6 linked regions of the Oryctolagus cuniculus genome follow. The protein of the gene in region 2 interacts with the protein of the main gene of each other region in a pairwise test. Links are inferred from orthologs where the notes say so. Each region holds a gene or a part of one and is shown on either strand. Other genes may lie near its edges. The genes, in order: ERLIN1, SEC22A, TMEM79, SFTPC, STX4 and DTX2.

Evidence for each region.
Region 1: the proteins of SEC22A (region 2) and ERLIN1 interact in binary tests that used the Homo sapiens proteins (3 or more experiments, as listed by UniProt). The two-hybrid records come from large-scale screens. The link is inferred for Oryctolagus cuniculus from reciprocal best matches to the Homo sapiens genes SEC22A and ERLIN1.
Region 3: the proteins of SEC22A (region 2) and TMEM79 interact in binary tests that used the Homo sapiens proteins (3 or more experiments, as listed by UniProt). The two-hybrid records come from large-scale screens. The link is inferred for Oryctolagus cuniculus from reciprocal best matches to the Homo sapiens genes SEC22A and TMEM79.
Region 4: the proteins of SEC22A (region 2) and SFTPC interact in binary tests that used the Homo sapiens proteins (3 or more experiments, as listed by UniProt). The two-hybrid records come from large-scale screens. The link is inferred for Oryctolagus cuniculus from reciprocal best matches to the Homo sapiens genes SEC22A and SFTPC.
Region 5: the proteins of SEC22A (region 2) and STX4 interact in binary tests that used the Homo sapiens proteins (3 or more experiments, as listed by UniProt). The two-hybrid records come from large-scale screens. The link is inferred for Oryctolagus cuniculus from reciprocal best matches to the Homo sapiens genes SEC22A and STX4.
Region 6: the proteins of SEC22A (region 2) and DTX2 interact in binary tests that used the Homo sapiens proteins (3 or more experiments, as listed by UniProt). The two-hybrid records come from large-scale screens. The link is inferred for Oryctolagus cuniculus from reciprocal best matches to the Homo sapiens genes SEC22A and DTX2.

The regions. Positions count from the first base shown.
Region 1 is NC_091446.1:29,928,956-29,932,968, reverse strand, and holds the start of ERLIN1 (erlin-1), read right to left. Parts: upstream 2,801-4,013; 5' UTR 2,679-2,800; intron 2,371-2,678; 5' UTR 2,360-2,370; coding exon 2,247-2,359; intron 1-2,246. UniProt on the Homo sapiens protein: Component of the ERLIN1/ERLIN2 complex which mediates the endoplasmic reticulum-associated degradation (ERAD) of inositol 1,4,5-trisphosphate receptors (IP3Rs).
Region 2 is NC_091435.1:79,369,840-79,373,940, reverse strand, and holds the start of SEC22A (vesicle-trafficking protein SEC22a), read right to left. Parts: upstream 2,801-4,101; 5' UTR 2,723-2,800; intron 2,657-2,722; exon of another isoform or gene 2,505-2,656; intron 1-2,504. UniProt on the Homo sapiens protein: May be involved in vesicle transport between the ER and the Golgi complex.
Region 3 is NC_091438.1:42,426,566-42,430,511, reverse strand, and holds the start of TMEM79 (transmembrane protein 79), read left to right. Parts: upstream 1-1,146; 5' UTR 1,147-1,285; intron 1,286-2,035; 5' UTR 2,036-2,078; coding exon 2,079-2,835; intron 2,836-3,028; coding exon 3,029-3,242; intron 3,243-3,946.
Region 4 is NC_091439.1:1,147,297-1,151,443, forward strand, and holds the start of SFTPC (surfactant protein C), read right to left. Parts: upstream 2,801-4,147; 5' UTR 2,691-2,800; coding exon 2,649-2,690; intron 1,348-2,648; coding exon 1,189-1,347; intron 923-1,188; coding exon 800-922; intron 591-799; coding exon 489-590; intron 227-488; coding exon 86-226; 3' UTR 79-85; intron 1-78. UniProt on the Homo sapiens protein: Pulmonary surfactant associated proteins promote alveolar stability by lowering the surface tension at the air-liquid interface in the peripheral air spaces.
Region 5 is NC_091450.1:6,128,866-6,132,189, forward strand, and holds the end of STX4 (syntaxin-4), read right to left. Parts: intron 2,859-3,324; coding exon 2,750-2,858; intron 2,674-2,749; coding exon 2,597-2,673; intron 2,475-2,596; coding exon 2,337-2,474; intron 1,126-2,336; coding exon 1,015-1,125; intron 945-1,014; coding exon 861-944; 3' UTR 846-860; intron 758-845; 3' UTR 501-757; downstream 1-500. UniProt on the Homo sapiens protein: Plasma membrane t-SNARE that mediates docking of transport vesicles. Necessary for the translocation of SLC2A4 from intracellular vesicles to the plasma membrane.
Region 6 is NC_091450.1:44,152,187-44,155,686, forward strand, and holds part of DTX2 (probable E3 ubiquitin-protein ligase DTX2), read right to left. Parts: intron 1,679-3,500; 5' UTR 1,591-1,678; coding exon 1,323-1,590; intron 1-1,322. UniProt on the Homo sapiens protein: Regulator of Notch signaling, a signaling pathway involved in cell-cell communications that regulates a broad spectrum of cell-fate determinations.

The sequences.
Region 1 (4,013 bases), on a different chromosome or scaffold from region 2:
AATATTGATACACAAAATTCTGAGCAAAAACAACAAAAAATTAGCATGGAAAGATGTGGGGTGAAAGGATTAAGTTTATAAATAGGTATTGGGGGCCGGCACTGTGGTGGAGCAGGTAAATCTGCTGCCTGCAGAGCCAGCATCCCATATGGGTGCCAGTTCGAGTCCTGGCTGCTCCACTTCTGATCCAGCTCTCTGCTATGGCCTGGGAAAGCAGTGGAGGATGGCCCAAGTGCTTGGGCCCTGCACCTGCATGGGAAACCCAGCGGAAGCTCCTGGCTCCTGGCTTCAGCCATTGAGGCCATCTGGGGAGTGAACCAGCAGATGGAAGACTGTCTGTCTCTTTCTCTCTCTCTGCCTCTCTGTAACTGCTTTTCAAATAAATAAATCTTTAAAAAAAAAATCTAGAACCCCTTGCTATACTTAAAAAAAATAATGAATAGGTATGGATTTGTTCATCAAATTCTGCAATAAAGGAACTATGAAAGCATATACTGGCAATTATAAAAAGGAGACATCTGGGGAGCAAATAAAGAAGTCCTATGTTACATAACGAACAGAACTCAGCTACCTGTATGGTAAACATAAATGAGCTTGCAAAGAAGTCCAAAACTTATGATGAGCTATTTGAGACCAAACACTAATTCATACCTTGAAATGTTCTTTCCTTGGTTTTAATGTCTGAAAAACAATGCTAAAGTGGAAGGAAATCTGAATTCATCCGTCACGTCTTACATTGGAGTGCTCCCTGCTAAAACATACCACTAAATCTGCACTTTTTCTATGACTCAGGAGGGAGCTAAATGTAGAAATAACATTTTTAGGGGAGATGATGCAAACAATCAAAAAGTTGAAGCTCTTTTTGAATACACCACTATTCCAATTTCTCAACCAACCGTCCTCCCTCTTCACAGTCAGTAACAGAAGGATCTGGTGTCAACTATGTTGAAAGAAAAAAAAAAACAGTACACCAACTCAACTAAAGAGCAAGTAGCATATCCCACTCCGTTCCTCTCTTCCAGTTGAAAGGATGAAGTAAGTGGCTCATCTGTGTCTCACTTCTGTCCTCTGAGGTCCAGGAATTAACCAACGCCATGGTCATTATGGTCTTTTAAGACATAACCAGGGGCTGGCCGGCGCCGTGGCTCAATAGGCTAATCCTCCACCTTGCGGCGCCGGCACACCGGGTTCTAGTCCCGGTTGGGGCGCCGGATTCTGTCCCGGTCGCCCCTCTTCCAGGCCAGCTCTCTGCTATGGCCAGGGAGTGCAGTGGAGGATGGCCCAGGTGCTTGGGCCCTGCACCCCATGGGAGACCAGGAAAAGCACCTGGCTCCTGGCTCCTGCCAGGATCAGCGCGGTGCGCCGGCTGCAGCGGCGGCCATTGGAGGGTGAACCAACGGCAAAAGGAAGACCTTTCTCTCTGTCTCTCTCTCTCACTGTCCACTCTGCCTGTCAAAAAAAAAAAAAAAAAAAAAAAAAAAAGACATAACCAGGGGCTGGTGCTGTGGCATAGTGGGTAAAGCCGCCGCCTGGCATGCCAGTATCCCATATGGACGCCGGTTCGAGTCCTGACTGCTCTACTTCCGATCCCGCTCTCTGCTGTGGCCTGGGACAGCAGAAGATGGCCCAAGACCTTTGGCCTCTGCACCCTCATGGGAGACCCGGAAGAAGCTCCTGGCTTCAGATCGGCACAGCTCCAACCATAGTGGCCATAGTGGCCAACTGGAGTGAACCAGCGGATGGAAGACCTCTCTCTCTCTGCCTCTGCCTCTGTAATTGCCTTCAAATGAATAGATAAATCTTAAAAAAAAAAAAAAAGACATAACCAGATGAAACGAATCTTAGGAAACAACCATACGCAGGACCACGTTTTCTAAAAGCACGTATGGCAGCAAACTAAAAGCCCGCACAGTTCTATGCACTATAAACGATTTAGTCACTTCTTCAGTTACTTGTAGAGTGACTACTTCTTTCCTTTTTCATCTTTCTACAAATCATCGAGTTCACTGTGTACCAGGAATACCCACAAGGAGTCTTAATCTCTGCACAAAACGAACACAGAAGTAAAACGGACCGACACTTGTAGAGTGCTCCCCAAAGCCTGCATTATCCCCTCCTCACACCATGCTTTCCCGACCGCTGGGCCGAAAAGTACGTCCAGGACTGGGCAGTGCTCGCCCGGACGCGGCTGGGGACGTGCCCCGTCCACCCGTCTAGAACCCGAGCTGACTGCACGCGCCGCTCACCTGTAGTAGACAGCCAGGTGTCCCTCCTCGATCTTGTGGATGGAGGCGTAGAGGAGGACAGCCACCAGCCCCACCACCGCAGCCACCAGCACCCGGGCTTGAGTCATATTCATCCTTGTCGCTCCTAGGCGAGCGAGGCAACGACCCTCAGCCCCATGAGTGACAGGCCCACTCCCCCCTCCCTCCTCCGGGGAGCCGGCGCCCCCTCACAGGCTGCGCGGGCGAGTGCGGCGCCCTTTTCCCCGCATTTCTCCTTCCTCTCACAGCCCGCTTTCCCCTCGCCAGCCCCTCCGCCCGAGGTGGCCCGCGGGCCGCTCCTGCTCGGTGAGCGTCGCGACGCCCCCTCCCCACCGCCGCTCAGTCTGTAGAAGGCGCCGAGAACGCGCCCAGCCCTAGGCTCCGGAAGGGGAGACCCCCTCGGCCGCGCCTCACCGATCAGTGACGCATCGCCCCCACCCGCACGTGCAGCCGCCTCCCGGGCCGCGCCAACCGCCGCCAACAGCCGGCCCCGCCCACTCTCCCTGCACTGCGCCTGCGCTAAAACGCACAGGCACGCAGTGCCCCGCCTGCGACTAGGAACGGGAAGCGAGGGGGCCAAAATACTCCAGCCACCCTTGCACTCCAGTTAGGAGGTGGGACGCTTCCTCCTGTGTGCACTGCTGGTGAGCTGGTGAGGAAAAGCGGTACTCTGGGGGAAGCGGGGATAGGAAAGGCCTGTCCGACAAGAAACCAGTCGGTTTGCTTTTGTGCAGAGAACCCGCTGCCCCACTCTCAATGCGGTAGCTGTTCCTTTTGTGTCTTTTTTTTTTTTTTTTGGACGTATTCCGAACCCTACTGTGCAGCAACACGTGCTCCTGGCGCGGACCGTGCACTTCTGGGGCAACCAGACTTGTTCGCTGTAAAAGGACGAGGAAACTGTTCGGTCTACCTGCATCACTCATTCAAGTTTTTTCCTTGGTTTTTGTCGGTGTGAGAGAGAGAGAGAATAGTTGTGCACGAATGCTGACCAGTTAGGGCTTTAGCGTGGCCGTCCCGGCGACAAGAAGAGTGGGCGAGCGCAGTGAGGGGCGCGGCGCTCCTCTTGGAAGCCCAAAGGGAGCCAACCATAAGCACTTGAGTTGTCTGAAAGCCTGTGGGATGGAAAGCAGTGGTTTGGTGGGCTAGGATAGGACCGGATTATTTTTAAAGTCGGGAATGCACTTTTTTCCCCCTGCTGATGTGGGCACTGGATGTCTAGGGGGCAGGAAGAACTTTCGCTGCATATTCTGTTGTTTTCAAGTTTTGCACCATGTACATATATTACCCAAAATGAAAAAGGGCAAAGGAAAAGGGTCGAGTCTGGCATGAGATAGATTAATACAAGGAAAGTAAGCCCCGCATGTTAGTGTAGGTTGGTCAGAAATGGCTTATGCTTTCGAAGGCTAGTGGTGGGAGGCCACAATTGGACAGGGCTGAGTAAGGTTGGAGGGGCTTCTAATCTGGAGCAGACATGGGAACACAGTGCTTTAGGAATCTGCAAAATGGCTGTGAAGATAGACTGAAGGCAGGGAAGCCAAATAGTTAAGAAACTGCAGGCCTGAGCTTATACCGGCAGTAGCAGTGAAATGAAAGATAATCAAAATTCAGTTCCTCATTAAAGCAGTCGTTCCCAGATCACTTTACCCACTTCCTTTAATAAATTCACTTATCTGTATCATTCATCTGATTTTTATTTCATAGGAATGTCAGGGCTCCTGTTCCAAACTTATCTATAATAACTTCCAAATT
Region 2 (4,101 bases):
ATATGGGTGCCGGTTCGAGACCCGGCTCCTCCTCTTCCAATCCAGCTCTCTGCTATGGTCTGGGAAAGCAGTGGAGGATGGCACAAGTCCTTGAGCTCCTGCACCTGCTTGGGAGACCTGAAGAAGCTCCTGGCTCCTGGCTTCTGATCAGTGCTACTCTGGCTGTTGCGGCCATTTGGGGAGTGAACCATCAGATGGAAGACCTCTCTCTCTCTTCCTCTGACTCTCTGTAACTCTGCCTTTCTAATAAATAAATAAATCTTTTAACAAAAAAAAAAAAACACAACATGAAGAACTTTTTTGTTTTAGAAACACATGAGAAAGTTTCTGGAGAATTATTAATTTTTTAGATGTTCACCGGCTGATCAGGTTATCATACGTATGTTTCAGAACCAAAATGTGAGAAACAGGAATTTGGAACGCATTATTTTATTAAAGGTGCTGAGGTCTGTGGGAAAGGGGAGGAGTTAGTTTAGGGACATGTGGGTAGACTGAGACAGGAAGAGAAACAGGTACCAAGCACAGCCAGTGCTCATTTTGCTTTGCCTGTGCCCCCAGCCTCACGAGAAGTCTAATTCCTAGCAGGGGTGCTTGCAGTGCAGAGCATGCACAAGCCCTCGGGCTCCAAAACAGATCACGCCCACCCCTAGGAACAGGGCGGCCAACACGGGTTCAGACACGTCCATCTCCAACATCTGTCTAGAGCCACAGTTCAAGGCAGGTAGGTATAACCTCCACTTTACAAATGAGGAGACTGAGGCTCATTTTCTCAGTGTCACACTGCTAGCACCATACAAGTATGTGGCAGAGCCGGTACTTAAACCCAAGTGTCTTATATTTCTATGTCACTGTGCCGTATCAGTCTCCCAAAACCAATCAGGGGCAGGAACCTGTGACACAGAAACTATCTGGTCACTCATTTTGAATAGTAACAGTTTACACTGTAAGAGGCGGTATAGTATGAGAGTTAAAAGGTCGGATTCAGGAGCCAGACTGCCTGGGTTAAATCTTGGCTCCACCATGTGCCAGCCATGTAACCGAGGGCAGCTCTGACCTTGCATACCTCAATCTCCTCATCTGTGAAGTGTGGCAACTAATATTATCTACCTCCTAGGGTTGGTTTCAAGAAACCAGTAGCATCTACCACATAGGATTATGTAAAGATCCTGAAACACTTATGGAAACACACTCAAAGTGCTCTACTAAGTATCTGTTATTCTTTTTATTGATCATCACTATGGCAACACACATTATATAATGTGTATATACCATACACATTACCTCATTTAAGCCTTCCAATAACCTGTGAGGTAGATATGAATTCCATTTTGCTTTTCAGGAAATTAAAAGCCACAAAGTTTAAGCAACTTATTCAATTCCTAAACAAGTAAGTGAGAAGGCAGGGATTTAACCCAGGCCTAACTCTAAGAATTCTATGAGACAGTACCTCCCCAAATATGCAAACTCTTACTCAAATACACGCAGAGGAAGGCCACTGGCGCCCCTGAGAGAACCCGTTTTTCTTTCATAAGACATTTAGATTTTAATCAGTCACATACTAAATGGGTGTGATAGCTCTCAAAGTAGGAAACGCGCAGGTGTCCCATTAACACAGGGCATGCTCACAGGTTTCCGATTCAAGCAGTGCAGCTGAATACACTGGGATTTGTAGGCACTGCTACAGGGACTGCCTACTTCCTTACAGTCTTAACACGCAAGTAGCAGTAACATGGAATGTGGTGCGGAGCCACCTGTCAGCTGCGACCCCAGTATCTCCAGTCTGAAGCCTTGCATCTGCCCCAGGTGGATGACCCAAAAATTACAGCGGCACAAGTCTAAAGGGGCTTTCCCTGGCAAGAGACTCCAGCCAGCTGGGGATCGGCCGTCTCCTTCGATCTCCCCGACTTGTGGAGCCAATTGTCCGGGTCTCCTTTCTGCCTCGCCATTCCCCAAGGGCTATCAACAGGGCCTCAAGCTTCCTGTGTGCCAGCGCAGACAAAGCTCCGGGCTCAATATTCACCCAATCCCCACAAAACGCAAAGTAAGTCATCCTGCCTAAAACAAATAGTTAATGCCACCTCCAGTTCTCTCGCCTGCCCCAAACGGCCTAAGTGCCGGACCACCGTGTTTATGACATCTGGGCGCCAGGGAATCCCCGCCGCCGCCCGCGGGCAGCCCAGGACTCTCTCTTCTCCTCCTATCCCCACCCGCATCTCCCCGCTCCCGAAGCAGGTCGGCCGGGGGACAACCGCCGCCCGCGCGGCCCCGCAGACCACTCGATCCAAGGGGTCCATGGCCCCAAACGCCGGCCGCTCCAGGGCTCCGCGGCCGCACCACCACCACCCGACTCCACCCCACGCCCCGGGCATGGTTCCTGCCCAGGCGTAGGCATGTGGTCCCGACGAAGAGGGCCGAGGCGGGAGAGCCAAAGGTGCGATCGGCCAAAGAGGGGAGCGAGCGACCCCGCGCAGGGAAGAAACAGACTGAGAGGGGCCGGGCCGTACCTGCCGAGCCGCGACCCGCCGCTCCGAGTGACGCGCCACGCAGTGCATTGTGGGGCCCAGGAGTGGCCTTTCAGCGGGGCTGCCTCGCGTCCAACGTGGCCGGCGCCTGCGGAATCAAGCCCCGCCCCGTTCCCTCGGCCCGCCCCGGCCAATCGGGTTCTGTGGGAAGAACTCACTGACCCGCCTCCTCCAGGACAGACTGGCAGTTTCCCACGCACCTGCGCCGGGGGAGCCCGTCGTCCTCTGGGGACAGAGCTCTGTTGTCCCCGAGAAATTAGGCTAATCGCTCCCGCCTGCTGCCGGATTGTCTCTCGCAGGCGGTCCCACAGCAAACTGTTATCCAAGGGGCAGGGGGAAAAGCCCCCTCTGGGGAAGGGAGGGAGGGAGGGAGGGAGGAACCAGCCTCTGTCTGCCGCCACACACAAGAAGGGCAGTGCCAGGTGCTGGCCCCGTGGCTTGGCCTCTTCAAGTCTTGTCATGGTCACACATTGTTAACCAAGCATTTCCCGAGTGTTTACCGCGCACAGCATTGTGTTAGGCATCCGGTTACAGGAGTGAACCTAACGCTGGATGGGATTTAAAGTACCATTATAAGATTAAGCTACATTAGCATAAATCGTTGTCATAATTATTACATGTGATCAGTACTATAAAAGGGAAAGTGGTGGGTGCTGTGATGGGTTATTTTGGACAGTCATGGAAAAGGCCTCTGAATAAGTGCCTTTTAAACTCCCAGGCCTGTTAACGGGCCTCAAAGAATGTTCCAGGTCAAGGGAAACGTGATGGCTAGGCTCTCGGGGCATGAAGGAACTTGGAGTGTTCTGGGAACTGACAAGAAGTCGGTGTGGAGGAGTGCAAAGAGCAAGGACAGCTGGGCAGAGATGAGGCCAGGGCAGACCGCGCTGGCTCTTGCTGGCCACTTGATAGATTTCAGACTGCGACTGGAAGGCATCCTGGGGTCAAAAGGCAGCTAGTGAAGACTGTTCTGTGGGATCTGATTTACATATTTAAAAGCTCACTGAGGCTGTTTGTGGAGAACAGATTGGAAGAGGACAAGGGGTGCTAGAAGGCCAGTTTGGAGGCAGTTGTGAAGGCCAGCGATGACAGTGGCTTGAACTGGGGTAACGGCAGTAGAGACAGCGAGATGGATAATTTCAAGATATGTATAAATCAAAGGCGGAAAATAAAGAACTTACAGATTGGTTTGCCGGGAAGCACCAAGCAGTCAGGATGACTCCTTAAGTAACCAAACGGATGAAGAAGCCATTCGTTGCTGCATATGTTAAATTTCAGACGCTATAGATGGAGTTTTTTGATAGGTAAGTCTATAGTTCAGAAGATCTGACCTAACTATGTAAATTTCATGGTTGTTGGAGTGAGTTAACCCAGCAACTTCCACTAGACATATTCAACAATATCTATTTATATGTTCACCAAAATACATGTATCAATCCTATAAATCTATTAATCCTATAAATACTATTACACATGTATTTTGGTGAATATATAGATACATGTATAATAATATTTATAGGATTAATACATTTTAGAGTAATCACATAGTGTACTATACAGGAAAGCAAATTGTTAAGGTAGG
Region 3 (3,946 bases), on a different chromosome or scaffold from region 2:
TTGGTGTAAAGTGCAGATTAAGGAGCAGGGCAGCTACCACTTCATTCCCAGACTCCTCGGGGGCTGAGGGTAAAGGTTCTGCAAGACTGAAGTTGGGGTTAAAGAGGTGCATGTTGGGCTTGTGTGCAAGTCCCTGGTCGGTCCTCAGTGCTCGTGGCTCTCCTTTGATTGGTTAGCGATGCCACCTTCTCTTGGGAATTCCAGTCACTCAGGTGGTAGTTACTTCTTGCTTGGAGCCAGGGTTCCTAGGAAAACTCTCAAGACTGAACACCAAGATGTTATCTGCAGAGGCCATAAATGACCCCATGAGTCTTTTGATCCCGGACCCTGAATTGCTGCACCAATTCAGTGAACTTGATTTGTAATAAGGGCAGTTAGGAAAGGAGCCTGGAAGACCACGGTAGGCAGGCTCTGATGATGCTGACGGCGTGCAGCATCTGCACCAGGGGCACCGCCCAGGGGCTTGGGTTCCGTCTGCTCACACTGGAAAGAGCACCGATGACACTGGGACTATGTTCTCTTAACTTGAAACCTAATCTGAAAAGAAAGGCGTTCTGGTGCCTGTGCACACCGTGCGATGGGAACGTGAACTGCCCTCTCTGTCACGGTGCTCCGGGCTCCAGCCACCAGCCTTCCTTCTGTCCCTGACACAGCCAAGTCCTTCCCACTTGCTGTTCCGCTTGGAACACTCGTCATCCTGATTCTCCAGCTCCTGATTCTCAGCTCCAGTGTCATCTTATCACAGAAGTTTCTTCTGCTAAGAAAGCAGGCTTCCCTATCACCTGTTACCCTTAAAGAAGGGCAGAGCTCTTGACGTCACTTGTCTTCCTGTGTCTGTCTGTACCTCGTACAGAGCCTAGCTAATAACAGGTACTCAATAAATATTCTTTGAGTGAGTAAATGTACACAATCCAACTCTTTTCTGGCTTTACCCAATCCACTCCAAGCACCGTTTGGTGCACAAAGCTACTCTTCTTCCTCTGCTTTCCTGACCAGGGCGCCTCACACATCCCGGGTGCCTGGAACACAAACTCACCTCTATGCGTGGCTGCACCCCCGCCACGCTTGGAAAGGACAACGTCCTCCTCTAAAGCTTTTTCTGTCGGCACATTCAGCAGGGCGGGGCCTGCCCCTTTAATCTGGGCCCCACCTGCTCTGGTCAGACAGGTTTGGAGACACAGGTAAAGGGAGGGAGACAGAGAAATACTTGCAGAGCCAGCACGGAGCTGGGCAGTTGCTTCCTGGACTGGACGCTGGGGACCCTCCACCTCTCTCCCGACAGAAAGTAAGGGGGTGTCATGGCTCCAAATGGCGTGGCGAGGGGAGGGCCCTTGGGGAGGGAAGGAAGGGGAGTCGGCCCCGTCCAGAAGCAGTGAGATAGAGGGTGGCAGTGAGGGGTGGTAGGCAGGAGGGAAGGCGTGGGAATCAGCCATGATTCAACCCCAAAGAACGGACAGACCCGGGGGCTGCCGGCATGAGGTGGGATGGTGAGAAGATTGGAGGCTGGCCACACGTTCAGATCGGAGACGCAAGAACTGGTGCTGGCAACTGCCAGCTCCTTGGGACAGATGGGTCGACAGTGACTCCTACTTGCCGGGGGAGTCCCCAGCAGGGTCTGCAGGGAGAAGGGCAGATGGGCTGGGGGAGGGGCTGTGGTGTTGTCCACAGGAAGATCTCCGGGGAGAAAGAAGCTGTTGGCAAAATTCTAGACACCTTCTCTGCTTCCCATTCCTGAATTATGGTATCCGGGACTCCGGGGGTTTTGGTGGAAGTGGGTAGGAGGCATGGGTGGGGGCTGACCGAGGCCAGAGCTGCTGGAGCCTGTGCCCCGACTCACCCTCGCGTGCCCGGATGCATCTGAAGATGTTGAAAGCGTGCCTCCACTTCAGCTCCCTCCCACCTCCCTCGGTTTCAACACCAACCTCTGAACCATGTTCTCCCCGAGGTCCCAGACGGGGCCAGAGGAGCCCCGGAAGTTCCAGTTCTGTGGCCCCGTCCTAGGGGCCTGAGAGAGCTTTTGCCCTCCTCCCTCCAGGATGACGGGACCTTAGGCTGGACCCCAGAACTGAAGCCCCAGCATGACAGAGCCTGAGACCCTGGCCCTGCTGGAAGTGAAGAGGCCTGAGGCCCCGGAGAAGAGCCCACCCCAGGACCTGGTTCCCAATGGCCGGCAGCCAGAAGGGGGAGGCGGGGCCGAGTCCCCTGAAGGCGGGTCCCTCCAAGTGGAGTCTTCAGCTGGCTCTGCCTCAGCCAGAGAGGCCACCGAGGATGGCCTGGACAGCACAGTGAGCGAGGCCGCCACCTTGCCCTGGGGCACCGACCCCCAGCCCACTGCGCCCTTCCCAGACCCTCCCGGCTGGAGGGACGTAGAGTCAGAGCCGCTCGAGCCCGAGCTGCCCGTCAGGCCTGAGGGGCTGCCTGAGGATGATGCCAACCTGCTGCCTGCCAAGGCTGCCCGGGCCTTCGTGCCCATCGACCTGCAGTGCATCGAGCGGCGGCCCCAGGAGGACCTCATCGTGCGCTGCGAGGCGGGCGAGGGCGAGCGTCGGTCCTTCCTGCCCCCCCGGCTCCCCCACATTGAGCCCCCCGAGTGCAAGTGGGCCGAGGCCGTGGTGAGGCCCCCCAGCCGCTCCTGCGGGAGCTGCGGAAGCTGCGGAGGCCGTGAGGGGCTGAGGGCTGTGGCCTCGGTGGGAGCCGCCCTCGTCCTCTTCCCGTGCCTGCTGTACGGAGCCTACGCCTTCCTGCCCTTCGACGCCCCACGGCTGCCCACCCTGAGCTCCCGCCTGGTCTACACGCTGCGCTGCGGGGTCTTTGCCACCTTCCCCATCGTGCTGGGTGAGTCTGGGGCCCCTGTGACAAGAAAGGGGACACCTGGAGAGTGGACTTCAGAAGGGCAGGGCCTGCTGGGGCTTGGGGAGCAGGTGAGCGCCCCTCGTTCAGCCTGGTCCTGCCAGGGCCTCCCCCACCCCCACTCTGTGTGCCTGCCTCCTGCCTGTTTTGACCCCGTGTGTTTCCTGACCCCACCCAGGGCTCCTGGTGTACGGGCTGAGCCTGTTGTGCTTTTCTGCCCTACGGCCCTTTGGAGAGCCCCGGCGGGAGGTGGAGATCCACCGGAGATACGTGGCCCAGTCGGTCCAGCTCTTCATCCTGTACTTCTTCAACCTGGCCGTGCTCTCCACCTACCTGCCCCAGGACACCCTCAAGCTGCTCCCTCTGCTCACTGGCCTCTTCGCCGTCTCTCGGTAAGTGGGGTGGGGGAAGGAGGGTGATGTGCCAGATCCAGGCACCCGAATATCTGGAGAGCGGCTTTTCTGGGTTCTGGAGTGGCCCGCGTGTGCCCTGGAGAGATGAGTTCACTTACTCTCCTGCACCGGACTCACCTGGGGGCAGGTGGGCAGCTCCTGTGTCTGCCGGGAGGTAGGAAGCTGATTTCAGAGATGCGACATGCCAGCATGGAACTGGAAGGCTTTTAAGTGTCACAGAAATCAGCGGGCCCATTACAGCCACTCCTCTGTAGTACTCTGGTCATGCAGTTTTTTTGGCTTCTAGCTGAATGCCCGCTGTGATAAGTGCTCCATTCTTTATAAAGCGATATGTTTTGGTTTTTGAAATCCCTAATTGTTAGAACTTTTTTTTTTTATAATGTGTTAGAAATTTCTATCCTGACTCTGATCCCCAGGACAAACACTTCTCAGTTCTCCCCACTCTAACACTCTGCTCCCCACCCGCCATCTCTACTTTGCTAAGTGATCACGGTCCCTTCATTGTCCAGGCCCCTCCCTCTGGGCAGGAGACGCTTCCCTGGCCAAGGGTCCTCTTCATACAGACGAGGCCACCTTAGCTCTCACAGCGGAATTATTCTCCTCTCACTCAGTTTGCAGTTGCCTGAAATCCTCGGGGAGTATTTTCATGTGAATTTCTGAACCCAGATGCGCTCTTTCCATTT
Region 4 (4,147 bases), on a different chromosome or scaffold from region 2:
GGAGTGAGCCTGGCTGGGTCCCCAGCGCCTGGTCCGCCGCAGGTGGCCGGTGGCCCAAGCCCTCCTCCACCTGCTCACCTGAGTCCTAGATGTAGATGAGAGGCACCTCCCCACACAGGGTGCTCACGGCCGCGCCCAGGAAGGCCAGCTCTCCTCCGGAGGACGCCGGGCCTGCGGCTGGCCCCTTGTCCTGGCCCCGCTGAGTGGGAGGCTCTGCAGGGTTGGCCTGGGAAGAATACCAACTTGGAGTCTGGGGACCCAGAGCCTGTCACACCTGGAGCCCTTATTGGTGGGACCTTAGGCAGGGCTGCGTGGGCTCAGCTGAGGCCATGCACTTGGAGGAGGGGGAACAGGTAGGGGAGGCAGGTGCAGGTGAGGATGGAGAGGTGGGCACTCACTTGGGCATGCCTTACAGGTGACAAGTACCTTCATCATCTCAAGTGTGGCCTGGGAGGCAGACAGCCCCCACCCCTCACCCACACACCCACCTGGAATTTTCTAGCCAGAGCCTCCAGACTGGGGATGCTGTCTGGAGCCATCTTCATGAGGTAGCAGCAGGTTCCCGGGGCTGGCTTATAGGCGATCAGGAGCTGGGTGTGACATGCTACAGGTCAGTCGAGAGGCCCCCTGCCTCGCTCACTGCCTACCCCTGCGCTCACCCAGCCCCTGGGTTGGACACAGGAGTCCTGTTGGAATCTGGGTTTCAGGCCTTCCCTCTACCCCCCACCCAGGGAGAGGGGGGAGAGGCGGATGTGATGAAGCGGCACAGCCTGTGGCCCTAGGGGTGCAGGCAGCCTACCCGCTGGTAGTCGCAGGTGACAATGCCGGTGGAGCCGATGGGGAAAGTGGCCGTGGTGCCCGCCCACTCGCTCAGTGCCAGGCGCTGCTGGACCTCCGGCGCCCCGATGCTCATCTCTAGGACCTGGGGGAGATGTTCCTGGCACTCCTGTCCCCCACTCCAGTGCCCATGGCCCCCTCCCCTCTCTTTACCCAGATGCAGTTTCTTTCTCTGCAGAGAGAGCTCAGGGGCCCGAGTGGAAGCCCAGGCCAGGTTGGCCCGCCCCCATCTCCGCCCCTCTCCCTCCACACTGCACCCTGGCATTCCCCTGGCCCAGCCCACCCAGCTCCGGGGCGGCTTGCCCCCACCCTCACCCACCCGCTGCTCACCCCAGCCCCGCGCCTGCTCACCATCTCGGTGTGTTTCTGGCTCATGTGGAGCCCCATGAGCAGGGCCCCCACAATCACCACGACCACGAGGACCACCACGACGACCACGATGAGAAGACGTTTGAGGTGCACTGGGCAGCAGGGGATGCCGAAGCGGCCCCGGGGAGCTGCTGAGTAGTCCTGCCGGCAGGGGGCAGCAGTGAGACCCGTGCCAGCTGGACACCTCGGCCACACGCACACTCAGAAGGTTGGACCACCAAAGCCACACAGACGCACACACACACACTCAGAGGGATAGACAGCCAAAGCCACACACACGTGCTCACACAGACACACTCAGAGCCAACACCACACGTGCACACACCCACTCACACACATGCACCCAGAGGGATGGACAGCCAAAGCCACACACACGTGCTCACACAGACACACTCAGAGCCAACACCACACGTGCACACACCCACTCACACACATGCACCCAGAGGGATGGACAGCCAACGCCACACACACGTGCTCACACAGACACACTCAGAGCCAACACCACACGTGCACACACCCACTCACACACATGCACCCAGAGGGATGGACAGCCAACGCCAATGCCACCCATGTGCAGGGGAGGGCTGTGACGACCAGAGGAGGCTCCCTGGAAGAAGTGACCTGGATTCTAGCAAACCCAAGGCCTCGTGTGCAGGGACCCAGGGTGGCCTGTTTGGCCAGGGCTCGTCTCCTGCTATTTCTCCGAATTCCCTGGCACCCAGCCATAGCCAGACCCTGTGTTCCACAGATGGCCCAGGCTCGCCTACACTGCCGTGCCTTCATCCACACTCCCCCACCTTCCTGCAAAGCCCTCCTGCTCTACCTGGACAGCTCCTCTGTATTTTCTGGCTCTACCTGCCTTCTCTCTGGAAGCTTCGTGCAACCCCCTGAGTACTCAGTGGCTCCTCCCTCCACTACCCTCTCCATTTTTTTAATAAAAGAGACCTTAGATTTGTGTTTAATGCTTTATTTATTTGTTTGAAAGGCAGAATTTCAGATTGATAGATAGATAGAGATCTCCCATCCATTGGTTCATTCCCCAGTGGCCCTGGGCTGATCCAGGCCAAAGCCAGAAGCCTGGAACTCCATCCAGATCTCTCACATGGGTGGCAGGGACACAAGTACTCGGGCCATCCTCCACTGCTCTCCCAGGCACATTAGCAGGGAGCTGGATCAGAAGCGGAACAGCCGAGACTTGAACCTGCGCCCATATGGGATGGTGGTGTTGCAGGTGATGCCTCAGCCTGCTGTGCCACGACGCTGGCCTCCCGGCCCACTCCACTGACCAGTCCCTGTGATGGCCGTCACCTCCTTATACTGGAATTATTGTCTCCCCCAGGGACTCTGTCTCAGTGGCCTTAAGAGTCCCCATCTTAACTAGGAGGGTGGAGGAGGCAGGGTCCCACACACACCTGCACACACGCGCGCTCCCATGCACTCACCGGTGGGCTCTCCATCAAGGCCTCTTTGCTGCCCATGTCCATCTTGCCACAGGTGCCCGCCTCTCCTCGCCTCCTGGGTATGACCAGGGCTTTATATGTGCTCGTGCGGAGAGAGGGCAGAGGTGAAGGACCGGGCCCCCTGTCTGCCAGCCAAGTCCTTGACTTTGAAGCCTGTTTGTTCCTGGCCCTCCAGAGCCAAGGCCCTGATAAGCCAGCTACAAGTGCCCCCAAGGGCCCTTGGCCCTGGCACGTGAGCTCCCTCTTCCCGCACGGCAGCGAGCCTGGGTGTGCCGAGCAAACTTGCCCCTCGGCCATCGGCAGCGCTCACCATGGGTGTCTCCTGGCCGGCCTGCCTGTCTTGCTGGCACCTGCCCTCGCAACCCTTGTTCTGCTGCCAGGCGGAACCACTCAGGCGGCCAAGGGTCTGACCGCCCGCCACACCTGCCAGCAGAATTTCTAGGGGTGAGTTCGGGGTAGGGGGCGGAGGAGCCAACATCAGCAGACCCTGAAAGGATTTAGGGTGGGGGCGCAGGAGGGCTCCTGGGTGTGCACTTCTCTGGGAGGGCCGGATTCCCGCTCTATGCATTCCGCCTCACACGTGGCCTGCCTGACCTCAGGCTAGCCCCCAGTCATTCTTTTCTGTTTGGAAACTCTGTGCCCGCCAGTGGAAAACTCTTACTCATGTGCACTGCTCCACTCTTTGCTAGATGGCAGACGCGGCTCCCTCAGCCCCGACGGCCTTGCACAGGGCTGGGTGTGGTTACTGGCCGCCTCCCAGTCTCCCTGTTCTTAGCTGTGCCTGCTTGCTCCACACTGCCGATCATCGCCAACATCCGGCTGCACTCTGCATTTCATATTCTCTGGTACCAAGGGCATTCCAGAGGGCTACTCACCCCACTCTGTCCCCTTTCTGACCTCGTCACCACCACCCCAAACCCAGCCGCCATTCTCCCTCTCCTACGTCCTTCCCCAAAGCCGTGGCCGTGGCTCACTCTCAGATCGGCCGCTGGCTTCGCGGGGGATGGTACCTTTCCGCCTGGGCTCCCCTTCCCTCTGGGAGCCAAGTGAGCTGGGAAGCCCCTTCACCTTGGAGCTGCCATGAGGGTGTCAACTCAGAGCCCAGCACCTCCCTCTCCCGGCCTCCTCTCCTTGAGCGTATCACTCCTAGCCCTGTCCCCTGCCTCACTCACACCACGACCCTGCCTTCAGGCCACCAGCTGGACCCTCCCCACTCTCCAGCCCTGGCACAAGGACCCTCTCTCCTCTCCAGGTTGCACAACAGCACGACCTCTGCTCTGAGGGCCCCTGAGCAGCCCCAGGAGGAGAGAGGAAAGGAAGTGTTTGCTCTCACCGCCTTCCTCACTCCCAAACGCCCCTTTAAATATTTGCCAAAGCCTCCGGCAGCCACAGAGGATCCCCCGATGGGTGAGAGGACAGAGGAGGAGGAGGGGGCACAGGGAGCAGGAAGAGACCAACATCCTCCTCTCGGCTCAGCCTCA
Region 5 (3,324 bases), on a different chromosome or scaffold from region 2:
CAGCCAATTAGAGTGAACCAGCGGATGGAAAACTCTCTCTGCCTCTCCTCTCTCTGTGTAACTCTGCCTTTCAAATAAATAAATAAATCTTAAAAAAAAAAAAAAAAAACACAACAACAACAAGGAAACCAGGGCTCAGGTGCCTCTGCCTCTACCTGCGCCTCCAGGTGCGCTAACCCGGGCTCACCGGCTCTGTTAGCTGAACTCTTCCATAAACAGCAGTGATTTCTTCTGATCACGAGACCTGGGGCTGGGGCCTCTGCCTGCCAGCCCCTTCCCTTCCTTCTTGAAATACCTGGCTCCTCCTCATGGCTTCAGGGCTAGGTGCTCAGCGGTCCTTCCCCAGGGAAAAAGCAGGAGTACCTCGCTGTGGGCACGGCACCTAGGGCAGCCTGACCTGGGCCTGTCTGGGCCTGGCCTGGCCCCAGGGGTGGCCAGCAGGTGGGGAGAGGCTGGGCCAGCTCGCCAGCAACAAGGGTCTCCAATCCAAGCTCGCTCGCTCGTTTTTCTCTCTTTTTAATTTTTTACAAAACCATGTGTCCCAGTCAAACAGGACAAGGCAGACCCTCCCTCGCCCAGGCACTGTAGCTCGAAGGGGAGGGGGGGCCCCACGGACGAGCAGCTGCTGACCCAAGAAGAACCGCCTGCCACCGCTGTACAGGGGCCCGAGGGCGCCGGGTGGAGTGGGGGTCCTCACTGGGGGCTCTGTGCTGCAGGGAGACAAGGCCAGGACCTGGGTCCCTGGAGCTTCCGGTGCCTGCAAGGGAAGGAGGGGGAGGAGGGTCTGAGGGGAGGAGGGAAGGCTGGGGAGGGGGCGGGGCGGGGGAGGGGCCAGGAGGTCTCACCGAAAATGTACAACTCTAGCCCACCGCTATGGTCACGCCGATGATGACGGCCAGGATGAGGACCGTGACGGACACACAGATGGCAATGAGGACTTTCTTCTGTGGGAGACAAGAGGGTCAGGGACGACCGAGTGGGGCGCCTGCGCCCGGGGCGGGGCGGGGGGCTCACCTTCCTCGCTTTCTTCTGGTTCTCCAGGGCGATCTTGACGTGCTCCTGCCCGCGTTCCACGTAGTCCGCGGAGCTCAGGATGTTCTTCTCGATCCGGTTGATCATCTCCCCCTGCTCGCGGGATGAGGTGGCTCAGAGAGGGAGCGATGCCTGGGCACAGCGGGGCTGGGGACGGGGAGGCCAGCTGCGCCTTTGCCCATGCCACCCGGCAATGACTGACGCATCTCCCAGGCCCACGGAAACAAAACAAAAACTGCCCCCAACAGAGGCAGCTCCAGAAGTGACCCAGGCTCAGAATCTTGGGATGGTTCCGGGATCCCTTCTATCACGTGGTCCTATCTCCCCGCTTCCCTTGCCCCCATAAGGTGACATCCAAACGCCTGCAGAAGGCAAATTAAGAGCTTGTTTTCGGGGATCCAGTGCTGTGGCGCAGCGGGTCAACGCCCTGGCCTGAAGCTCTGGCATGCCATATGGGCACCGGTTCCAAGTCCCGGCTGCTCCGCTTCCAATCCAGCTCTCTGCTGTGGCCTGGGAAAGCAGAAGAGGCTCAAGTGCTTGGGCCCCTGCACCTGCGTGGGAGACCTGGAAGAAGCTCCTGGCTCCTGGCTCCGGATCAGCTCTGCTCCAGCCGTTGCGGCCATTTGGGGAGTGAACCAGCATATGGAAGACCTCTCTCTCTCTCTCTCCCTCTCTCTGTCTTTGCCTCGCAAATAAATAAATAAATCTCTCTTTTTTTTTTTTAAAGAAAATAAGAGTTTATTTTGGTGCCCCAAATTTGGAATCCAAGCACAGATTTCTCCTAACGTGCATTGGCCAGTCACTTTTTGAAGATCCCTCCTATACATGATTTCAAGATTTTTTTTTTGCACCCCAGAGAAACTTTCTCAATTCCATTTTCCATGCCTTCTTGCAAGCACCCCCCGTATGTGCAGGGGCGGCTTGTGGCCGTGTGCTCCACGGGTTCATACCTTTTTCTTCAGATGGTGAACTCTGGCCCCTGAATTCAGCCATTCTTCCAGGCCTGTCTCCCGGCTGCTGTGCAGCCGCCCCTCCCCCAGCTCCTCCTGGCACCACCAGCCTGCAGGTCCTGCTGCTCCTCCTGAATGAGATGCCCTCCCCTGCCTCCCAGCGGCAGAAGTGGCACTGGCTACAGCACCACAGACGCCGGCTCCCCTAGGAGCTGCAGTAGCGCAGCAAAGCCAGGGCTGGGTACAAAGCCTTGGGGACAGCGGCTGAGAGGCGGAGGGGGGCTGGCGGTCACGGCCGGCCAGGGCTTCCGCCTGAGCAGCGTCTCCCATCCCGGGGAAGCTGCGTGGGCTCACCTGCATTTCCACCTCGGTAGCCAGGAAAGTGAAGATGTCATGGAGCTCACGGATGCTGCGTTCGAGCTGCTGGATCTCACTGTGCCGGGCGGAGATCTCATTGAGGGCCTGCCGGGTCACCTGGGTGTCCTTTAGGATCTGAGGGAGAGTGGGTATGAGCGGACAGGTCACGGCAGCGCGGGGTGGGACACCAGCGGCAGGCCAGAGGGGGTTTCTCTGGGGCAGCCCCTTCATCAGGGACGAGGGTGATGGCCACTCACATTGGACACAAACACTTCGCTCTGCCCGCTGTCCAGCATCTGCTCCAGTTCCTCGTCGGACACCGCCCCAGCATTGGCTGTGAAGGGAGAGGCCAGGCTCAGAGCTGGGGCAGGGGGTGACCTGACCCTGTGGACTGGGCGTCTGCAACTCACTGATCTTGAGTTGCCTCCGAATCCGCTCCACGTTCTTCTCCCGGTATTCGGACTGCATCGAGTTGCACTTGTTGATGAGTTCCACGAATTGCTGCGACAGCACCCCATGCTGAGGGTGGAGAGAGCACAGGCTGGGCACCCCGGGAAGGACCCCCGCCCCACCTGGGCCTGGGCATCCCACTGCGCACACGACAGGAGCTTCTCCAAGCTGCCTGCGGCATCGGCCACCTTGGGATGACCTTGAAGGCGTCCCCATTTGTCCGAGGAAAAGGCAAGACCACTACGAGAGCCCAGGTGGCCTTAGGTGATCTGTCCCTGTCCCTGTCCCCTTTCGGACTTCCCCCTCTTCTGCTGAGCCCTCCCTCCTGTACAACACTCACCGCTCCCACCCTTAAGGTGCTACCTTGCCTCCCGCAACCCTCTCCATCCCTCTCCCGCGCCTGGCTCTTTTCTCCTTAACGCTTCCTCCGTCCTCACGCCCTTTGCTTATTCCCAGGTTCACTGCTCTATCTGAACAGCTCAGGGCTGGCGCACAGTCATCACTGAAGGCAGACCAGCCAAATGCCAGCCAGCGC
Region 6 (3,500 bases), on a different chromosome or scaffold from region 2:
TGGTTAACCAAGACCAAACCCAGGGCAGGAATCTGGTGTGGCTATTATTAAAGAACGCCGTTGGGGTGTCTACATCCCGTATCAGAACCAGAAATTTCACAACCAGAAATGTCTCCAGACATCCGCGGGTCAAAATCACTCCAACTGAGAACCAGTGGATAGGAGGAGAGGGGCAGCTCTGTGGCTGGTTCAAGTCCAGGCTACCCTACTTCCAACCCGGCTTCCTACTGATGTGCTCGGGAGGTAGCAGAAGATGGCCCAAGCACTTAGGTCACTGCCACCCACATGGAGAGCTGGATGGAGCTCCTGGCTCCCGGCTCCGGCCTGGCCCAGTCCTGGCTGTTGCTGCCAGCTGGGAAGTAACTCAGAGGATGGAAGACCTGTTTCTTGATGTCTCTTTCTCTGTTACCCTGCCTTTCAAATAAGAAAATCTTTTTTAAAAAAGATTAAAAATCAGAAAGGAGTGGATGTCATGGTGCAGCAGGTTAAGATGCCATGGGGGGTGCTGGCGCTGTGGAATAGCAGGTAAAGCTGCCGCCTGCAGTGCTGGCATCCCAGATAGGCGCTGGTTCGAATCCCAACTGCTCCACTTACGATCCAGCTCTCTGCTATGGCCTGGGAAAGCAGTGGAAGATGGCCCAAGTGCTTGGGCCCCTGCACCCACATGGGAGACCCGGAAGAAGCTCCTGGCTTCGGATCAGCACAGCTCCAGCCATTATGGCCAGCTGGGGCGTGAACCAGCAGATGGAAGACCTCTCTCTGTGTGTAACTCTGACTTTCAGATAAATAAATCTTAAAAAAAAAAAAAAAAAAAAAGATGCCACATGGGACCCACATCCCACACTGAAGTGCCTGCTTCCAGTGTCGTGCACTCTACGTAGCCAGCTTCCTAGTAATGCGCGTGACGAGAGGCCACAAGTGGTAGCCCAAGTGCCCAGGCCCCTGCTGCCCACGCGGCAGGAAGGCTGCCCGCTCCTGGTTTCTGCACGGCCCAGGCCCAGTTGTTGCTAGGAAGTGAATAGGTGGATGAAGATCTACCTTTCCCCTCTGCCGCTTGCCTTTAAAAGAGCCCCCAGTGACTGCAGGGCGAGGCAGGCGCTCCTGGTTTGGGAGACAACGGGAGGAGGGCTGGGAGCTCCCCTACTGCCTGAGGCCCATCTCAGCGGGCTGGGCAGCCGCTCCCACTCAGAGCACCCAGCTCCCTGCCACGTCCATCTCATGGCAAGGACAACGCAGTGCCTGGGTAACACACAACACCTCGCACGCGGGGCACCTGGGCCAGAGCACGTGCTCAGATGTGCAGCGGGGCAGAGGTGTCTTACCAGTGTCCTGGCGGAACTGGGTCCAGTTGGGAAGGTCGATGATGTAAGGGGCCAGCGAGGGGTCGGCCTGGCCCAGGGGGATGCTGTGGGCCAGGCTTCCCAGCCCAAAGCGTTGGCCCTTCTGCTGGACAAACTGCTGCTCGATGTAGCTGCAGACAGCGGCGCTGTAGGGGTGCCAGGAGCCCAGCCCGTCCTGCCATTCCCACACAGCCACTGCCACGGGGCTGGCGTACACTTGGGCCAGGGAAGGGCCTGGGGCCATGGCCATCTTCCCTCGGACTCCTCTGCTTGCCCAAACGGCTTCAGAGCGCTCTGGGATGGAATCTCGGGTTCATGGCCCAGCGCCTGGAGCAGACCTGGAAACCAGAGAGAAGAGCAGTTACCAATGCCCACCACGAGCTCTGCCCGAGTCGGGCTGGGGGCAGTCAGCCCATTCCGCAGCGGCTCTCCCCAGTACCTCGAGGGCACCAGGAACGGAGCACCTGCTCCTGCAGCTCTGCCCTGGCAGTCAGGAAGAATCCAGTCAGTCCCTCCTCCCAGCTCCGCACGTGCTCAGACGCGGCAGAGTGCGTGCCCCGCTAAGACTGAGGCCAGCTCCTCTCTCGCTACCACTGCCCTCCCTCTGACCCGATCACTCAGTCTATCCTCTTGAGCCGGACCTATTTCTCAGTCAACCCAAATCCTTGTGCGGTACAGCCACGATCACCCCTCATCCCTGTGTACCGAGCTGACGGTTTCCAACCCAGGTTTATCTGAGCAATGTGGATTAACACTCACTATGCTGCAGATAAAGAAACACTGGGTCTCACACAGGACCAGGGGGCTGTGGCAAAGCTGGCACTTGAAGCATGTTTCTCGTAGGTGGGGACGAAGACAGATTCTGGCTCCTCTGTGTCGCTGGCCACCCTGGAAGCATCCCCGAGCAGAAGGAAGCCCCAGGCAGACAGGAAAACTCCCACCCCGCCTCGGCCTCCCCACCCAGGCCTTACCGACTGGCTGTCTGCCATCTGCAGGGCCCCCTGGCCCCGAGACCTTTTCCTCGAGGCGCTCCACCCGCCTCCCCTGCAAATCCTGTGCACTCCTTGGGCCCAACCTGTGTCACTCAGAAAGCTTTCCCGGCCACCCACCCACATCCCTCTGCTGTGCCTCTGCTGCTGTCCCCTTCGGCTGCACTGCAGCAAGGCCACCTCCCCTGCACGGGCCCTGGCACTGAGACGCCGCACACTCCCTGTACACCTTCAAGCTCTCTAAGCTGGCTTCCTCCTCCTTGGAAAGCGGAGACACCAGCATTTACCCAAGTGCTCTTCACGGGACTGAGAGAGAGAGGTATGCATACAAAGCACCGGCACCCAGCAGCTGCTCCCGCTCGCTTCCACCCCTTTCCCCCAGTGCCCTCCCACCCACGTCTGGGGTAGGCTGACTGCGAGGGCAGCACTGAAGCCGCGGCACACATCCGAGAACACAGGCCGCGTCAGGCCCAGGAACACAGCTGTGCTGCCAGGCCTGTACTGAGCCGCCAAGGCCTCTGCTGAGAGCCCAGATCCTGCCGGGGAGGACTGGCCCCGGGCGCCCTCGGGCAGGCTGGCTGAGCTCACGGCCTGCAATCAGTCTGCCACCGCATCAAGGCACAAATCAGGAGGGTGGCAGAGCCGCCTGCTCCCGAGGAGGCCGGGGCCTCCGTATCATCGCCCACGGGCTGTGCCCCGGCATGTCCACACATCCCCAGGTGAGTCAACACACACAACTCCGCACACCCACAACGCCAGCTCAAGCTTTACGAGAAGGTGTGCAGCCCCCTCAGATGGGGGAACCTGCCACGTTCAGGCCTCTCCACAACAGGTCCCGTCCCCACTCACACCAAGCCCTCTAAACTCAGGACCTCAGGCCACCCCATGGGAATCCAGCAAGTTCTAGAACACTCTGAGCCCTCTCGCACCTCCCAGTCCCATGCTCCCCCCGTACAAGTCCCCGTCCTCGCAGCCGCCTGTGTCTCCACTCACCCAGCAGCACTGCCCTTGTGGGTTTCAGTCTGTTCCCCTGCTGGAGCAGGAACTGCCAAAGGCTGGCTCCAAGACAGAGCCGAGGTTTTCAACTGCCCAATATCCCAGGGGGTCTGAAACCCCAAAAGACAAAGGAAGGAGAAGCTTCTGTTGCAGGGGCACGGGGCCCAGAAACGCC